Elephas maximus indicus: one gene and its partner. Each later gene encodes a partner of the first gene's protein in a complex. Links are inferred from orthologs where the notes say so. Each region holds a gene or a part of one and is shown on either strand. Other genes may lie near its edges. The genes, in order: XKR8 and BSG.

Evidence for each region.
Region 2: the proteins of XKR8 (region 1) and BSG are in contact, whole or in part, in a cryo-EM structure (PDB 7DCE), measured with the Homo sapiens proteins. The link is inferred for Elephas maximus indicus from reciprocal best matches to the Homo sapiens genes XKR8 and BSG. Residues at the interface, in NP_060523.2 of Homo sapiens: His232, Leu236, Val239, Leu242, Trp243, Leu246, Gln247, Arg280, Gly283, Arg284, Ile287, Phe291, Ser294, Asp295, Leu298, Ala301, Thr302; in NP_001719.2 of Homo sapiens: Trp326, Pro327, Gly330, Ile331, Glu334, Val335, Leu338, Val339, Ile341, Ile342, Phe343, Tyr345, Glu346, Lys350.

Annotation. Positions count from the first base shown.
Region 1 is NC_064821.1:68,370,641-68,380,364, forward strand, and holds the start of XKR8 (XK-related protein 8), read left to right. Parts: upstream 1-5,166; 5' UTR 5,167-5,332; coding exon 5,333-5,625; intron 5,626-7,642; coding exon 7,643-7,839; intron 7,840-9,724. Other genes in the region: SMPDL3B (acid sphingomyelinase-like phosphodiesterase 3b), read left to right, coding at 1-116, 202-335, 3,852-4,217.
Region 2 is NC_064821.1:307,555-317,044, reverse strand, and holds the start of BSG (basigin), read right to left. Parts: upstream 4,104-9,490; 5' UTR 4,007-4,103; coding exon 3,940-4,006; intron 1-3,939.

The DNA of each region.
Region 1 (9,724 bases):
GCAGGCCTTCAACGAGAGGTACCTAGAGGTGGTCCGGAAGCACCATCAGGTCATCGCGGGACAGTTCTTCGGGCACCAGCACACCGACAGCTTCCGGATGTTCTATGATGACACAGGTACTCAACCCGGAGGGCGGCTGCCAGCTCACTTCCCGCCTTCTCTCACCAGCCTCTCTCAGTTCTGCTGTCTCTCGCCTGAAAGGTGTCCCCATCAGTGTCATGTTCCTCACGCCTGGAGTCACGCCCTGGAAAACCACGTTACCTGGAGTGGTCAACGGGGCCAACAATCCAGGCATCCGGGTGATTGAATACGACCAAGCCACACTGAGCCTGAAGGTCAGGAGCCCTGGGTCTGCTGGGAAGACAGGGGTAGGGTGGACAGGGACCTAGACACATCATAACCTCCCCTAACTCTCCTTCCCACCCAATCCACCCACTATTGACCAATGAACCTTAGAAAGGTTAAGTTACTTCTGCCCTTCTAGAGCTCAGATTCAGAACCCTGAAGCCACCTCCAAATCCTGTCACTGAGTCAGGTCAATTCTTCTTTTCCCAAACTCCCTTTGCCCCTGGATCATTGCCACAGCCTCCTACCTGGTCTCCCTGCCTCCAGTGCTGCCCCACTGTAGCCCATCCGCTATGCACTACAGAAGGGATTCGTCTTTCTAAAGCACTGCTTTCATCCTGTTTCTCTCCTGCTCAGAAACTTTCAGTGGCTCCTCAGTGCCTGCAATATAAAGTTGGATCTCCTTGGCCTGGTACTCAAGGCCTCCTACACTCTGACCTCCAGCCCATGCCCACCTTTTCCCTACACTGACTCAAGCTGGGCTCAAGCCAAAGCAGGCCCCCAACTCATCAAGCGCTCCTTCACCTCCTAGGATGTGCTTGTGTTTGTGGAAATCACAAAGAAGCATTATTCTCTCATTTATTCAACAAACGTATTAAGCATCTGCCATGTGCTAGACCCTGCTCTAAGCTCAGGGGATACTCAAGTGAACAAAAACAGACCAAGTCACTGTTCTCCTGGAGCTGACATTCTTACAGGAAGCAACAGACAAGAACTAAGTGAAATGAAGTATGCCACAGAGAGAAGTTCTAAGGAGGAAAACGAAGCAGGGTGGAGAGACAGGGTGGTGATGGGCAGGCTGTGTGTGTGCTATGTTACACAAGTCGGCAGGGTAAATGTCACAAATAGAGTGGCATTTCAGCAGAGTTCTGAGTGATGTGAGGGAGCAAGCCACGTAGGCACCTGGGGAAGGAGAGTGACAGCAAGTCAAAGGCCTCTTGGTGGGAACGCGCTTCGCATGTTTAAAAGAAACCTGGGTACTTGGCACCATTTTGCAGGAGGCGCTTGCACCATTGCAGTGGGGCTAAAGACACACTCTTTTTATGTTGCTTTTTATCCATTCGTTCTGCAAATATTTATATGCCAGGGGGCTTAGCATGATAGAAAATGCCCAGGCTGTGGGATAAACAAGAAGAGCAAGGAGGCCAGTGTGGTTGGAGTGGAAGGTGGAGGGGAGACTAGGTGGGAACGAGGTCAGATCACATAGGCCGTGATGAAGACTCTGGATTGGGAGGGTTTAGGGCAGAAGAATGAAATATTCTGAACTTAATTTCACAAAATCACCATGTCTGCTGTATAGGGGCAAAGGCAGAGGCAGGGGAAACAGTTAGGGACTATATAACCAGCTGAGAGATGGGGGCTAGGCCCAGGGCTGTAGTGCGAGAGGTAAGAAGTGTCGGATTCTGGGTGTATTACGAAGGCAAAGCAGACAGGATTTGCTGGTGGATTGGATATGAGAGAAAGAGGAGTCATGAAGGACTCCAAAGTTTTCAGCCTGAGCAACTGAAGGATGAGGTTGCCCTTTGCTGAGATGGAGTGACTGTGGGAGGAGCCAGAATTTTCAGCTTTGGGCCTGTTAACTATGAGATGGCTAAATGGCATACAAGAAAATGCCAAGGGAGGCGGCAACTGGATGTCTGAGTTGGAGTTTCAGGAAGAGCAACATACAGAGATTTGATATGAGAGCTAAGAGCATCTAGAGGACATTTAAAGCCAGAGACTGGATGAGATAACCAAGGTCCTTGATTCTGAGGAGGAAATGTAGATAAAGAAGAGGTCTGAGGATTTTTAAGAGTATGGTCTGCCGCTCACACAGGCACTCATAGAATCTGAGCACAGTCTCAAGAATCCCCACCCAGCCTGTAACATGCCCTGCATCCTTCTCAGATAGACCTGGGTTTTAATCCTGGCTTAACCAGACATAGACTTTTTGATCTCTCTGTGCCCCAGTTGCTTCATCTGTGAAACAGGAATGACAATACTCTCACAGGGTTTTGAGAGGACTGAACGGCTAAGGTACTTGGATGCTAACAGAAGGACTGGCAGTTTGAGTCCACCCAGAACCGCCTCAAAGAAAGGGCTGGCGATCTACTTCGGAAAAATCAGCCATTAAAATCCCTATGGAGCACAGTTCTACTCTGAAACACAGAGTCTGAATCGACCTCAACTGTTTGTTTTTAAATGAAATAACATATGTAATGTGTCTGGCATGCAGTTGCTGTTCATATATAGCAGTTCCGTGTACTCTATCTCCAGTGACCTGAAGCAGGTATACATACAAATTTAACCCGAAAGTGTTGGACAGAGAAACTGTCTTAGTCATCTAGTGCTGCCAAAACAGAAATACCACAAGTGGATGGTTTTAACAAAGAGAAATTTATTCTCTCACAATCTAGCAGGTTACAAGTCCAAATTCAGGGCACTGGCTCCAGGGGAAGGCTTTTTCTCTCTGTCAGTTCTGGAAGAAGGTCCTTGTCCTCAATCTTCCCCTGAGGAGCTTCTCAAGCACAGGGACGCGGTGTCCAAAAGTCACGCTCTGCTCCTGGTGCTGCTTTCTTGGTTGTATGAGGTCCCCAACTCTCTGCTTGCCTCCCTTTCCTTTTATCTCTTATAAAAGGTGGTACAGGCCATACCCCAGGGAAACTCCCTTTACATTGGATCAGGGATATGACCTAGGTAAGGGTGGTATTACAAATCCCACCCTAATCCTTTTCAACATAAAATTATAATCACAAAATGGAGCACAACCACACAACACTGGCAATCATGGCCTAACCAAGTTGATATATACGTTTTTGGGGGGACATGATTCAATCCATAACAGAAACTCTTCCAGATTCTAGTCCTGAGGATGCACAGGAGTCCCAGGGGTCTGGAGTGTATCTCAGTTCCCACCAAGTTCTACTTGGCCTGTGGTTAATCCCACTGTTTATGTTGCTTTTTATCCATTCATTCTGCAAATATTTACTAAGCATCTTTTATGTGCCAGGAGCTTGGTGTGACAGAAAATGCACAGAGTGTGGGGTAAATGACCTGGGTTCCAATCCCGGTAGGATCCTGGCCAAGTGAACCAACCTCTTTAGGCCTCAGCTTCCTCATCTGCGAAATGGAGATAATAAGTGCAGTTATCTTATCAGATCCAATCTAAGAATGTCTGCCAAACATACTTAAAAAAAAGAAAAACCAAAAAACCGGTGCCTTCTAGTTGATTCCAACTCACAGAGACCTCAGAGTAGAACTGCTCCACAGGGTTTTCTTGGTTGTAATTTTTACTGAAGCAGATCACCAGGTCTTTCTTCTTTGGTGCTGCGGGTGGGTTCACACTGACAACCTTTAGAAGTCAAGGGCAAACAGTGTGCGCCACCCAGAGACCTTACCAATAAATGCTCAATAACTAATGGTGGTTATTTTGGCTGTAAAGAAGCTGGGGGCAAATGCAAGGTGTAGGATGGGAGTGGAACCTGGCAGCTGTTAAAGGCAGGCCTTGCACCGCCTCCCCATTCCAGGACACAGTTACCTACTTCATGAACCTGAGCCAGGCGAACGCGCAGGAAACACCAAGCTGGGAGCTCGAGTACAAGCTGACCGAGGCCTATGGGGTGCCGGATGCGGGCCCCGCGTCTATGCACGTGGCGCTAGGCCACATCGCCCGCGACCAGGGAGCACTGCAGCGTTACTACATCTACAACTCTGTTGGCTACGGCAGCCCGGACTGCGAGGAGGCCTGCCGCGTTGAGCACGTGTGCGCCGCGCGTGAGGTGGACTTCGACGCGTACACTGCTTGCCTGCGCAACTCTGGCGCCTCACCGGCGCCCAAGCTCGCGCTGCCGTTGGCGGCGCTGCTGGGCCTGTGCACCCTGCTCGTGCGGTGACCTTGGCGCCACACGCTGTCCCCTGGGCAGCTCACCTTCCTCCTTGTAAAACCTGGGGAACATCACCCTTTGGAGACCCGGACTTTTCCATCATTTCTCCTGCGCCCCTAGAGAGTGAATTAGTAGGGGGCAGCCGGATCCGGAGATGAAGCACCAGCCCCCCCCCCACCACGTTTCCTTCAAGTTTCATGTCTTATTAAAAAACAATGTGCATCGTGCATGTTATTCTGTGCGGTTTCTCCTTTAATATGTGAGTAGTTTTGAACTCACAGTGAACGTTTCTCCCTCTCTCTCCACAGTGATGGAAGTAAAATGAGTAGCCCAGGAAGATGCGCCCTGGTGATCCGGTGCCCTTTGTGTAACTCGCTGCCCGAACTCTGGGCACGCTTAATTTGCAACGTTCACCACTTAGGGATCAGAACGTGCCTTTTTGTTTTGCTTTTTGCAACCGAGCCGATGCGAGGGATCATGAGTAGAGCCCGGGCTCTAATCTCCTAGCCCTTCCCGCCATCTTGGGCCTCTGTCGTTAGGTGCCATCCAGTCGATTCTGACTCATAGCGATCCCGTGGGACAGAGCAGAACTGCTCCATAGGGTTTTCTAGGCTGTAATCTTTAGGGTACAGACCGCCAGGTCTTTCTCTCGTGGAGCCTCTGGGCGGGTTGAATCGCTGGCTTTTCGGTTAGCAGCCAAGCGCTTAACCGTTGCGCCACCGGGGCTCCTTGTCTTGGCCCTCTAGGCGCCTCAAACATAAAATAAAATCGCTGGGAAGCCTGCTGAACTAAGCGCTGTGCGCCTCGGACGGTCGGTTTTCAGGCCTACCGGCCCTTGGGATGCACCCATTTGGGCGGGGGTGGGGGACGGGTGGCAGAGCCAGAGCCCCGAGCGGCATCCAGGGCCGCGGGAGACCAAGCCTGACGTGGGGCAGGCCCGGGCAGGGTCCAAGGGCCTCGCTCCTCCCCGGACGAGGCGGGGCGGGGAAGTCCCGCCCAGCAGGCCCCGGCCCAGGGCCGCCCCGAGGGCTGTGCTTGTCTCCTTCCTGAGTTGAAAATCCCGGACCCCAAGGGTAGGCCGGAGCCGCAGAGAAGGAGGGGTTGGGGGGAGAGGCAGGCGGGCCATGCCCTCGTCGCCCCACGCCGCCCTCCTTCGGGACCTGGTCCTGGGCGTACTGGGCACTGCCGTCTTCCTGCTCGACCTGGGCGCGGATCTGTGGGCCTTCGTCCAGTACGTGCTCAGCGGCTGCTACCTGTGGGCAGCGCTGGTGCTGGCGCTGCTGCTCCTCGCCTCGGTCGCGCTGCAGTTCTTCAGCTGGGTCTGGCTGCGCGCCGACCCCGCCGACCTGCACAAGTCGCAGCCCTCCGGCCGCTGTCTGGCGCTGCTACATCTCCTGCAGCTGGGCTACCTGTACAGGTGAGCGCCCCGCCCTCGGGAAACGGGAAGGATACCGAGCCTAGGGGGCGCCTCCTGAATTTGGGCTACTAGTGTTGGTGAGAGTCCTGACACGGGGGTTGGGGGTGGGGGGGAGGGGAGTGTGGAAAGTGAGGGGAGGAGGGAACCGGGACTGGAGACAGGAAACAGCCCCACAGGTGAATGCCCCGCCCCTTAAGGGAAGAGAACTGCTGAAAGCCCTTAGAGCTCTTCTAGTCTACCCACCCTTGTACAGGCGAAGAAACTGAGGCCCAGGGAGGAAAGGGAGGAGCACGGGCTTTGGAGTCAGCTTTCTGGGATCTAATTTTGCCACCTGTGACCTCATTCCTGCGTCACTCTGAGCCTCAGTTTCCTCCTCTGTAAAAAAGAAGAGGTAGTCTAGAGATAGCTCTGCCAGGCCGGCCTACTGTGACGTGTGAAAGAGTTGGAAAGTGCCTAGCACAGTGCTTGGCATGAAGTCAACTCCACTGTAATGGCAAAGACCTGCAGCCTCAGTTCAAAGCCTGGCTGTTCCTTCTAGCTGTGAGCACAGTGTTGGGCAAGTCGCTTGACCTCTTCAGGGTTTTTTACTCATTGTTCGAATGGGCATGGTAACAGTGCCTACCTCTGAGCTTTGTGAGCATTAAATAAAATGTATGAATTTCCCTGGCACAGAGTAAGCATCCAGTAAATGTCAGCTAGCATCAGATTACCTGGGCCACCCCGGGAGTTTCAGCTGTCCTGACCCCAGAGCAGTGCTGTGCCCTCACAGCTGCCTGGCTTGCACCCTTTCTTTCCCAGTTATATTCTCTTCCTTGAACTTTTGCTCCCCACCGCCCCCAGACTGAACACGAGGGCAGAGATGGTGTCTGACTCATCTGTGTCCCATGAGCCAGCTGGGACTGGGCTGGGTCTCAGAGCATGTGTGTGGATTGTGCTTCTTTTTAGAACCGGCGGGGCTCTATAGAGGTGGGAAACCGAAAGCAAGGTGTCAGAGTCATAGGATGAGGTCAGGACACGGTGTGGCCTGGGTGGGATGGTGTGGCTGGAGCCAGGATCCCCTTTTGAATCCATTTTTGCAGATTCTCTCCAGATCCTGCCTTGACAAAGCTGCAGTCTCCAGGAGTGGGTTAGAGGAACTTTGACTGCGTTTTGCCCTAGGGACCATAGAGGCCTCAATAAAACCCCAGATGGGTGGGAAGGGGCACAGTTATTATAGTCCTGGGCAGGCATGACAACATCGAACACCTTCCCTTCTTCTGTTTCTGCCAAGCACGAGTCAGACAGACTGCTGAGCTTCGCTGCCTATGCGCAGAAGCTCTCAGTGGCTCCCTGTTGCCCACAGGATAAAAGGCCTTGCTCCTTGGGCTCCTCTTCACAAAGTATGTTTTGTTCACCCCTTGCTTTCGAATCACCTGGGGATGCCTATTTAAAATGCAGATTTCTGGGCTCCTACTGCAGACTGAATGAAAATCTATTCATTCTTTTCATGGTTTTGCATAAAGGGGATCTCTGCTTCCAGTCCAATCCTTGCCCCCCTCCATAGGTAGGGTGCTTTTTTAGAGTACTGTCTGACCTGGGTGTGCCTGTGCTAAGAAGTTCTCAATGGCTTCCTGTTGCCTGCAGGATTCCAAAAGATTCTTATGCCTGCTAAAATTTGAGAACTACCGTCTTATGAATTCAAACAGTCTTGGGTTCAAATCCTAATCGCGCTACTTATTAGCTTTTTGATCCTGTTTCCCCCTCTATAAAATGGGGGTGTTGCAAGGAGTAAATGGGACAAGGTTTTGTCATGCGCTTGGGACAGTGCCTGGCCAGTAGGAGCAGCAGTAGTTGCATGTATCCCCATTTTACAGATAAGGAAACAAAACTCAATGAGGTTAACTTGCTTGCCCAAGGCCCACAAGGTGTAAGTGACAGAGCTGGGATCGGAGCCTGCCTGCATCCACCAGATGGTAGGGGAAAGAGGAACACCACCAGACACTAACCTGGCCCCTTGGGCATCTTATGTGCTGCCTAGGTGTGTGAAGGGGCTGCAGCAGGGGCTGTTGGCGTGGCGGCAGGAGGCACCCTCAGAGTTTGAACTGGCCTACGCCGACTTCCTCTCCCTGGACATCACCATGCTGCGGCTCTTTGAGACCTTCTTGGAGACAACGCCTCAGCTGACGCTGGTTCTGGCCATTGTACTGCAGAGCGGGCAGGCTGAGCACTACCAGTGTGAGTGATGCACCAGCAGCCAGCCCCCCTGTGGGTTGGGAAGGTTTCCCTCTAGTGTCACGAATATTTGCTCTTTTTTAAAAAGGTTGCTTGGAAAAGAGGAGAAATGCTTTAGTCAGGCAGCCATGGGTTCAAATCCAAAGTCACTCTCTAGCTGTATGACTTTGGGCAAATGACCCAGCCTTTCTGAGGGTCAGTTTGTTCTCATCTGTAAAATGGACACAGTCAGTGCTTCTACCTCATAGTGTTGATGAAAGGATTAAGAGATGATGCACATAAAGCAAAGTGCTTGGCGCATCATAAACCTGCATTGTAATTCTCACTGTTTTGAAGATAGCAGAGATAAAGTGTATGGGGTACCTGACACAGACTAGGCAACTTGTTAGTCATTAAGCTTTTATTGTGCACCTTCACATACTCAAGTTTTTATTCAGCACCTGTTCTGTGCCAGTCAGTGTACTGGGGCACAGTGGTGAATAAGACAGACACAGCCCCTGCCCTGCCAGGATGACAGAATATAAAATAATAATTACAGAAAAGTATGTCCAGTGATCTGAAGGGGAGAGGCAGGTGACAGAGGCTGGCAGGGCCTCAGAAACCGTGGGGAGAAATTTGTCCAGTAAGGAGCTTTCAAATGAATTTTGCCTGTAAAAGGGAAGTGACTTGCCCAAGCAAGGTCACAGTGGCTAAGCTAGGACTCCAACTCATCTCTGATTCAGGGCCCTCGGCTCCCCCTTCACCACTGGACACTTCGAGGGTCCCTGCTGTAAATGCTGCGGCATTTACAGTCCCCCAAACCCATTCCCCCCGCCGTCACTCGCTGTGTGACCCAGGGAGCCTGGCCTTAGTTTCCACGACTGTACAAGATGAGGGTCGAACTCGATCTTCGAGGGCCCTTCCAGCTTCTGCTAGTCCAGATCTGTGATAATTTTAAATCTGATAACAGCAGTCTTCATGATTGAGTTTCCTGCTATTAGCCAGGCACTTTGCAAAGTCCTTTGCAGTCTAACACTGTTCGTGTTCCCAGCAGCCCTTAGGTCAGTGCTGTATTTATTTATCTCCATTTTACACCAAAGGTAAGAGGTGCAGAAAGGTGAAGTGACTGGCCCTGGGTCACACAGCACTCACTGGATATATAGTTTTTATCCATTTGAGGGAGGTGGATGTCTAGGACCATGGTCAAGTGGAGACATTCTACACTGTGTGTGTATGGTGGGGTTTGGGGGTGGAAGAAGACGTATTTTTAGTAGCTAGGTACTGTGGTCAGCCATGGGGATCCCAGGTGAGCAGGCCCTGTTTCCTACCCTGGAGAAGCTGAGGGATAAGGAAATAGTAGGTAATTACTGTGTGATAAGGCTCCAGGCTTTTTTTTTTTTTTTTTTAAGGCTCCAGGCAGAAGTGGGTGGGGTGTTACAGGGACGCAGACACAGCTGAAGTGGGTGAGTGGGGTCAGGATGGGTGACTTGGGTCAGGATGGGTGACTCTAGGGGATATTCAAACTGGAACTTGGAGAGCAAGTGGGAGTAGGCCAAGTGAGGTGGGGCATGTGCTCCTGCCCCACCTAACATGATGGCAAAGGCTTGTCAAGGTCTTAGAATTTGGCATAGTGGGCCCTGCTGAGAAGTAGAATGTGGAATAGTTAGAAAGGATGACGGCTGCAGATCTGGTTCTAGGCTGGGAGTGGGTTCCTGGAACATTATAGGTGCCCAGTAAATATCTGTGAAGGGGGCAGGGGAGGAAGCATTCTAGAAACATTCTAGAGCTGCTTCTATCCCTGGAGGTCCTGGTGCCCCTAGCCCAGAATAGGGAACCAGGAGATGGGATAGGATCTTGGAAAATCAAGAAAAGGGGCCAGTCTGAATGTGGAGGGGAGGAGCGAGGGGAT
Region 2 (9,490 bases), about 68 Mb from region 1:
GCGTGGACCCAGCGGATGCGGGGTGCCCGGGTCAGGTGGTTACGGTCAGGGTCGTTGCTGGCCCGGCACTCATAAGTGCCTACATCGTCCACAGTAAGGCCGGCAATGGACAGGGTGCTGGCCGCATGCTGGCGGTAGGTGGTGTGGATGTGGACACGGTCCTGCCGGGCGCCATCCCAGAGCTGGGCGCAGGGCGTGTCGGGTGCAGGCCCCTGGAACCACCACTGGATCTCAGGGACAGGGTTGCCCACAGCCTCACAGTGCAGCTCCACGTGGTCCCCTGGCCCGCGCTCCTGGGACAGCGGTGACCACAGGAAGCCAGCTGTGCAGCAGGCGGGGTAGGCACCAGCGTTAGTGCAAGGGGAGCCGATGGAGAAAAAAAGCAAGTTAGTAGATTCCGCATCACCCTACTGAGCGCACCAGGTGGCAAGAGGAGCCGTTCAGAGGCTGGGCACCAGACACCAGGTCTAGAGGAGCACCCACCAGGACCGTATGACCCTGAAGGACCCGAGGCCCCCAGAGGGCACAGTGACCTCCAGCGGGAGAGCCACACACACACACTTGGGGGTTGCGCGGAGCCACGAGGGGGCCTGAGCTGCAGCCCCAGATGATTGGCCACCAGGAAGCACTGAAGCTACTACCCCCCCAAGGCAGCGCTCTGGCTCACACCCCATCCCTCCAGGAGAAACACATCCTGACAAAACAGAAAAGACCCCCTGCAGGGCAGGGTTACCCACGGAGAAGTGGGCTGAAGCTCACACCCCACAACCCAGAAAGACAGAAGTCTTTCTGCCGGAAGACATCACAGCTGGGCTGCTTTCTAGAGTACTCCATGGCTGTGATGTTGGCTCCCACCCCCACAGGTCACGGCGGACTGGCCCTACCCAGGGAGTCACCTGGCCATTGATGGGGCAGCCAGGCCAGACCCTCCGCCCCACCTCTGGTCACTTGCAGGTGCCTCCTTTAAACAAAAACAGAGGATAGAACATCTCAAAATCCCCAGCTGATGCAGGTGAAGCGCGAAGCCCAGCAGAAGCATCCTGACACAGCTCCCGGAGGTGCTGTCTGCTTTGGGCAGAGGGACAGGTCCTCACACAGGTGTGTCTTCCTCCCCCACAGGCCCCCACCACGAATGTGTCGTGCAGTCCCTGAATACTGCTGAGGGACACACACACGTATGCACACACACAGCCCCAGTTCCAAGGCAGTGGTGAGAAGAGCCAAGTGGTCCCCCACGAGGCAGCCCAAGGCAGGCAAGGCGACTGTCCTCGGCAGAGAGCCACCTCTGGTCTCCTGAGCTTCTCAGAGAGAATCAGGCCTCCCCAGTTGCGAAACCAGCAGCTGAGTACAGGGCAGGGCAGGGCTGGAACAGGGCAGGAAGTGGAGTCTAAGGTCCCCCCGCTCCCCGCGGGCTTCTCTACCTTTACAGCTGTTCTCACCACCCAGAGCTGCTAGAAAAGAGGCCTGGGGGGGGGGCGGGGGGGGGGGGGAGAGTCTGTTCCCTCTGCGTTTGTGAAGGGGTGAGTGTGGACTACCCCCACCCCCATCTATCAGCACCAGCGGGGCAGCATCCATGGGCCACATCCTAGAGATCTGGGGCTGCTCCGAACAAGGTGGATGTTGTCCCCAAGGGGCAGAAGTAGGCTCTGGGGGATAAAAACCCCTAGTGTCAAGGCCACTCTCAAGAGGCAGTGAGGATCACACATGATGTTAATTTTCAGTGTGGGACAATTAGTAAAAAATGTCTCAAAAGGCCCCTTACTGGGCAAGAACTGAAAAAAGCAGAAAAGCCTCCCCCACTTCTGCAGGAGGTTTAGGATTGGATCCCGCCTGGCCCCCAGGGTTCACAGGAGGCCCCCAAGAGCACTCAAGACCTCAGGAAGCCCTGACCCCCCGCTCCTAGAAAAGTCAAAGCTGATGCTGGCCACGTGATCTGCAGCCTGTGATCTCAAGTAAAGTCACCTTCATCTAAAAACAGCCACTCCCTCCTGCTTCCCTCTGGGCTGGGGGCCAGCCACGGGCCTGGAGGTAAACAAGCTGCCCAGGCCTGCAGGGGAGGCGCCCCGCCCGGGTGGAGCAGACAGCAGGGCTGCGGGGCACTGTCTGCCATCTGTGGGTCCCCCGGCCCCAGATTTCCCCAGTGGGAGAGAAGAGCAGGGCTGTCAGCATGAGAAAGGAAAACGAACCAAGTCTGCCCGGCAACTCCACCCTACTCCTGCTCAGCTCAGACCACCGCCTGCCCGGGAGAGAGTGTGGCGCTCAGCATTAGTTCGAGGTGAGACGTGTGTTGAGCTTGAACCCAGATAAGGATGCGTCCCCAACACCAGGTGGCTTCTAAAGGTCCCCTGCCAGCAACAGCCTATCTGCCGCCCCCTGGCATATCTGTGTCTCAGCATCTCAGTTAACAGCTGTGTGATTAGAAAAGCGAAGACCAAACAGTCTTGAAGTTGGTCAGGAGCTCCCACCCACTGTGCCCACTGCCAGAATGATGCCCCCACCTCTCCCAAGCACGGATTCCAGCCCTCACGTCTGCACTCTGTCCCCTATGTGCGTGTGGACACCGTAAATCTTTAACCCAAAACCAAACGTGTAGTCCAGATACAGGAAAGGAACAACCCTATGAAGCAAGAGAGCCCTTCTTGTGTTTCCCCTCAGACCATTCTTCCCACTTCAGCAAACTGCACTGGAAATCCACCACCACTGAATCTTTAAAAAACTACTCTGGACATTTCCTACCCTGAACTTTGGGGCCAAGGCAACCTCGTCATGACCTTGGAGTATCTTCCCTCCCTCCTGGGCCTCAGTTTCCCCAGCTGTAGGAGCAGGTGCGGACTAGAGCCCAAGGTCTGGTGAGGCCCAGCAGCAGGCCCCAGGTGGCACAGGGGACAGTGCACACCACAGCAAGGCTGAGGCCCAAATCCCATCGGGAATGATAATCCCCCCACCCAGGAAGCTGACCCATTTTTGAGCCATTTCACATGCACCTGTATTCGCGTCAGTGTGAGAATGACAGGAGCCCATTTTCCAGAAGAGAAAGCCCAAGCTGCCCAGGACATACTGGGACCACAGCCATGGATCCGAGTTCAGGGGAGGTGGGTCTTTCTGCTGCACCCCTACCCTAACACAGGCCCCAGGCAGGGGGTGACACCGAGATCCAGTCTCAGGTCGCACTCCAGGCCCTGCAGGCTCCAAGGGGCTCCCGGGACGAATGAGACGAGACCGAGGCCAGGCCCAGACTCCGACCCCGCAGTTCTGGCCCAAAGGGGAGGACGCTCAAGGACCCAGGCCCCGGTCTCCCTCCCTCTGGTCCAGACGCTCCTGCTGGAAGCGGCGGCAGGCGGCCCACCTCTGGAGCCCACCCCATATGCCCTCATCCAGGGCCAGTCCCCTCCCGGAGGCTCCAGCCCGGGGGCCCGAACGGCAGCTTGGGGACTGCACCTCCAGCACCGCCCCGGGCCAGGCGCCCCAGGTGCTCCCCCCAAGCTCGGGGGCTTCGCTCCCAGGTCCCGATGAGAAGCCCACCCGCCGCGAGCCCCGGCCGCGGGCTTCAGCCAGGCCTGTCCGGAGCTCCCCGGGAGCCCCCAGCGCGCGGCCTCACCGCCACTCCGCCCGGCCGCCCCCGGCGCCCCGGACCCGCACCGACGCCCCGGACCCCGCACCGGCGCCCCGCACCCGCACCGACGCCCCGCATCCGCACCGACGCCCCGCACCCCGCACCGGCGCCCCAGACCCCGCACCCCGCACCGGCGCCCCGCACCCCGCACCGGCGCCCCAGACCCCGCACCCCGCACCGGCGCCCCGCACCCCGCACCGGCGCCCCGCACCCGCACCGGCGCCCCGGACCCCGCACCGGCGCCCCGCGCCCCGCACCGGCGCCCCGCACCCGCGGCCTCCATGCCGGGCCCCCTTCGGGCGTCGCGACCCCGGCCCGGTCCTCACCCGCCCCGGAGGCGCCCTCGACGCCCAGGAGCGCGGCCACCAGCACCACGAGCAGCACGGCCGCCATGTCGCCTCGTCCGTCCTCCGCCGCCGCAGCCAACTGCCGCCACCCGTCGCCGCCGCCGCCCGCGGCCGCAATAAGAACCGGCAGAGGCCGCGGGCGCGCGCGCGCAGGGCGGCGTCCGGGGCGCGCGCACGCAGGGCACGCCGGCCGGTCCGTTTGCGCACGCGCGGGGGCGCACGTACGCACGCGCTGACTCAGACCGGTTAGCGCTAAGGGCATCCGGGCGGCGGCACCAGGCACGTGTCCGCGGCGAGCCACGCCTCCTGGCCTCCTGGCCCCCGGCCCCGGCGTTGCTAGGAAACGCGGGCGGGGCCGGCGAGGACCCGGCTGGGAGGCCGTTTCCCGCCCTGGCTTCTCGGAGAGTCTGTGGGCCGCGTCCGTTCGTCCTTCCGGCAGCGAGTCTTTGGAAAAGCTCTTAGTGAGGCTACAGGGTGCCAGCTGTGACCAGGTGGGATGCGAACCCCTGGCTTGATGCTACCAGCTTAGCAAATAAAAATACCGGACAGCAGTTAAATTTCAGATAGAGAACAAATAATTTTGTAGTGTTTAAGTGTCCCGTGCAATATTTGGACATAGTTATTTAAAAAAAAAAAAAAACCTATTTGTGTTTCTCTGAAATTGCAGCTTCACTGGTCGACCTCCATTTTGTCTGGCAACTCTGCCCTGGGGCCTGTGTTTTTACTACACACACTGACGCGAACGATGAATGCCGTGTGGGGTGTTCGCCTCAGAAATTAATCAACACTCGGATTTGACTCGCATAAACTCGTTTCGTTTACCGCAGGGGGGTCCTGCCAAACAAAGCACGCAACAAGGCCCCCGCCCGTAGAGCCAGAGAATCAGGCAACAGCCACCGTTATCTCCGTGGTGAGAGCTCCGTGGTGAGAGCCCCGTGGTGAGAGCCCCGTGGTGAGAGCCCGTGGTGAGAGCCCGTGGTGAGAGCCCGTGGTGGGAGCCCCGTGGTGAGAGCCCGTGGTGGGAGCTCCGTGGTGAGAGCCCGTGGTGGGAGCCCCGTGGTGGGAGCCCCGTGGTGGGAGCCCCGTGGTGGGAGCTCCGTGGTGAGAGCCCGTGGTGGGAGCCCCGTGGTGAGAGCCCGTGGTGGGAGCTCCGTGGTGAGAGCCCGTGGTGGGAGCCCCGTGGTGGGAGCCCCGTGGTGGGAGCCCCGTGGTGAGAGCCCGTGGTGGGAGCTCCGTGGTGAGAGCCCGTGGTGGGAGCCCCGTGGTGGGAGCCCCGTGGTGGGAGCCCCGTGGTGAGAGCCCGTGGTGAGAGCCCGTGGTGGGAGCCCCGTGGTGAGAGCCCGTGGTGGGAGCCCCGTGGTGGGAGCCCCGTGGTGGGAGCTCCGTGGTGAGTGCTCCGTGGTGAGAGCCCCGTGGTGAGAGCCCGTGGTGAGAGCCCGTGGTGAGAGCTCCGTGGTGAGAGCCCCGTGGTGACAGCCCCGTGGTGGGAGCCCCGTGGTGGGAGCCCCGTGGTGGGAGCCCGTGGTGGGAGCCCCGTGGTGGGAGCCCCGTGGTGAGAGCTCCGTGGTGAGAGCTCCGTGTTGAGAGACTCCAGGCGTTTTCTCTGAGGAGTGGTCTCGGGAGGAAGGCTCGACCACGGGTGGGGTCCCTCACAGCTGGGCGCGAGGTTGGCAGCAGCGAGGAGCTCCCATCTCTGCCTTCTCAGCGGGTGGGCGGAAGTTCAGGGTTTACATACAGATGCCTCGTCTTGGCCTCACAGGATGGGCCCACTGTGACATCAAAGACTAGTTGGTAACGTCTTCTCTGCAGAGTTAGAGGTTAGCCGAATGTCTCGTCTTTTCTTCAGGGTTAGAGATGAGGAAGTTGTTTAGATTTATATCTCAAGACTAGTTTCTGAAGCTTGCTATGCTGTTTGCTTTCGTCGCAGCATGCCAGGTTTAAGTCAACTTTATGGTTATTCACGCTCTTCACCCACTTCACTTGCTTCTATTTGTCAGTTAGGAATTTCTAAATCACTTTCTAATGATTTACAGTTAATGGTTAGAGAGGCCTACAAAGGCAGACATATTTCTATTTCTAAATTCATATTATGAGTACATACATATATGTATATATGCAAGGATAGGAGTGACTTAGACTTAATATGATTGGAAAGCATTACAGAAACATACAGAACAATAAAGTAATTTCAAATGCTGATAAATGCAAATGTAAAAAACATCGCTGTTGAGTCGATTCCAACTCATGGCGGTAGCCCAGTGCGGCAGAGTAGAAACTGTATGTGCTCTGTAGGGTTTTCTTTCTTTTTTTGCTTAAACAAGCAGGAATTTATTTTCTAACACTTAGGCTGGAAGTCTGAATTCAGGGTTTTGGCTCTCGGGGAAGGCTTTCCCTCTCTGTTGGCCCTGGAGGAAGGTCCTTACCTCTTTTCAGTTTCTGTTCCTCCGTGATCTTCCTGTGACTTGGTACCTGTCTTCCCCCATCTCTCTCCTCAGCTTGCTTCCTTAATCTGCTCTTTTATGTCTCAAGAGAGATTGATGTAAGACGCACCCAACACTAACACTTCCTCATTAACGTAACAAAGAAAAGCACTTCCCAAATGGGACTATAAGGACACATAGGGTTTTCAGTGACTGATTTTTTTTTGGAAGTAGATTGCCAGGCCTTTCTTTCCAGGCACCTCTGGATGGACTCAAACCTCCAGCCCTTCAGTTAGCTGCCAAGCACATTTACTGTTTATACCACCAGGGGATCAAAGACCTAAATATAAGTACTGAACTAGAAAACTCTTAGAAGAAGAAAAAAAAACAGAAAATTTTAATTTTTTTCTAAGAAAACATGGGGATAAATCTTTGTGACTTAGATTAGGCAATGGTTTCTTAGACATGACACCAGAAGCACAAGAAACCAAAGAAAAAGTAGATAAGTTGGACCCCATCCAAACTTCTGTGCTTCAAAGGAAACCACCAAGAAAGTGCAAAGACAACCCATCAAATAGGAGAAAGTATTTGCAAATCATATGTCTGATAAAGGACTTATACCTGGGATCTATAAAGGACTCTTACAAGCTTATAATAAAAAGACAAACAATACAAAATCAGCAAAGACCCGAATAGCCAGTTTTCCTAAGAAGATGTACAAAAGGCTGATAAGCATAGGAAAAGGTGCTTAACATCATTAGTCATCGCCAAGGGCCCCTTCACCCACACTGGGATGGCTATTATAAACAGACAGATGATAACAAGTGTTGGCAAGGACGCGGGAAGACAGGCATCTTCATCCATTGCTCATGGGAAGGTAAAATGGTGTAGCCGCTGTGGAAAACAGTTTGGTGGCTCCACAAAAACTCAAACGTAAAACTGATGTGACCAGCAATTCCACTCCGAGCTATATATAAAAAATATATATATATACATACAGACGTATAATGTGGAGAAAGGGGACAGCCCAAGTGTCCATCTGCAGCTGAATAGATAATACAACGTGGTCCGTCCACACAACGGATTATCAGCCATAAAGAGGGAAGAAGTACTGATACCTGCCGTAACGTGGACGGACCTCACAAACATGATACTCCGTGAAAGAAGTTAGGCACAAAAGACCACATATTGTCTGATTCCATTTTGATATGAAATGTCCAGAATAGGCAAATCCATAGAGATGAAAGTGGATTAGCAGTTTCCAGGGACCAGGGGAGGAGGGATGGGGAGTGACTTTTAATGGGTACAGGGTTCCCTTTTGGGGCGGTGAGAAGGTTCGGGAACCAGGCAAAGGTTTTGGTTGCACAGCATTGTGAATGCCCTAAAAACCGCTGAGCTGTGCACTTTAAATGGGTAAAGAGCCTGGTGAGCAAATTACATCTCAATACAAAAATAGGGTGATGTGAGTTCCCAGGGGAGAGTGCCTGCTTCAGGTGAGGGTCCAGCAGCTTCTTCAAGGAGGTGACATTTGAGAACACAGTGTCCCCTGCCTGAGCAGGAGGGAAGCGTTATCCAGGGAGGGGTCTTCTCAGAGCTGATGGAGCCCAAGTATGGTGGACAGGGAGGGGAGGCTGGAAGGACGGGCAGTGCTGGGCGACAGAGGGGCATGCTGATGAAGGAAGGGGCTGAGCTGGCAAGGGCTTCAGGCCAGGGATGGCTGCGGGTCAGGGGCCTGGGCCTCAGAGCAGCCGAGCCCCAGCCCTGGCAGCCATCCAGGCTTAGAAAGGCTGCCAGCCCCACTGGGGGATTGGGAGCTACGTGCAGAATCGGGGAGGACCACGAGGCCCAGGCAGGGGCCACTGGCTTCAAAGCCCTTCCAGGGTTGTAAACAACCCCTCCTGCCTGGCTGATATCCTGAGCCTCCTGGCGAGCTTCTGCTGAATTCCCCCTCGGCATCCCACATGTCGGAAAACAGGCCTCCTGGGAAACATGAGGGCCACCTGCAGCTTCTGGAAGCCTTAGTCTTCATGTACAAGGTCAAGCTGCATCTCTTTGAAGACACGGTGTCCTGGCACTCCCCGGCCCCCTGACCCATGCTCTGCTCACCACTGCCCCCTCGGACAAGAGGGTTCATGCCTCTCTGGTTCCAAGAAGAGACATTTCCTTGACCACCCAGATACGGCAAATAAAATGAAAATACAAGATGCCTGGGTGAATTTTTTCCGTAAGCACACCCCATGCAGTCTTCGGGACAGGTTGCTGTTCCTCGTTCAGTCGATTCCATCTCACGGCGACCCCATTTGTGCAGAGGAGACCTGCCCCGTAGGGTTTTCAAGACTGTGACCTTTCAGAAGCAGATAGCCAGGCCTGTCTTCTGAGGTTCCTCTGTATGGGTTAAAATCATCAAATAGTCAAGCACTTAATCGCATGACACCCCTGGACTCTCTTTTTTTTTTTTTTTAAATAATAGGTGGAGCACATGGCATCTTTAGGGCAGCAGAGAAACGATGCAGGGTGTGGTGATGGGGGCAGATCACAGCTGCATTTGTCAAAACCCATGTTGTTGCTAGCTGCAGTTGAGTCAAGCCCGACTCACGGTGACCCCACGCACAATGTAATGAAACTGCCTGTTCTTTCTTTGCAATTTTTTTGTAAACCTAAAACTGCTCTAAAAAATAAAGGCTATTCAACTGCTCCGACAGGGATCACAGCAGAGGGTCCTGGAGAAAGCAGGAGAAAAATATAGAATAAAATTCTAGTTCACACACACTTAAAAAAGACCAGACCTGCTGGTCTGAAAGAGGCTAAAGGAACCCCTGAGACTATGGCCCCAGGCCATCCTTTTAACTCAGAACTGAAGTTATTCCTGAAGTTCACCCTTCAGCCATGGATTAGATAGGTCTATAAAACACTATAAAGTTACTTTAAGGACTAAGGTGCACCTGACCCAAGCCATGGTATATTCAATTGCCTCATATGCATGTGAAAGCTGGACAATGAATAAGGAAGATGGAAGAAGACTTGATGCCTTTTAACTGTGGTGTTGGCGAAGAATATTGCATATACCATGGGCTGTCAGAAGAATGAACAAATCTGTCGTGGAAGAAGTA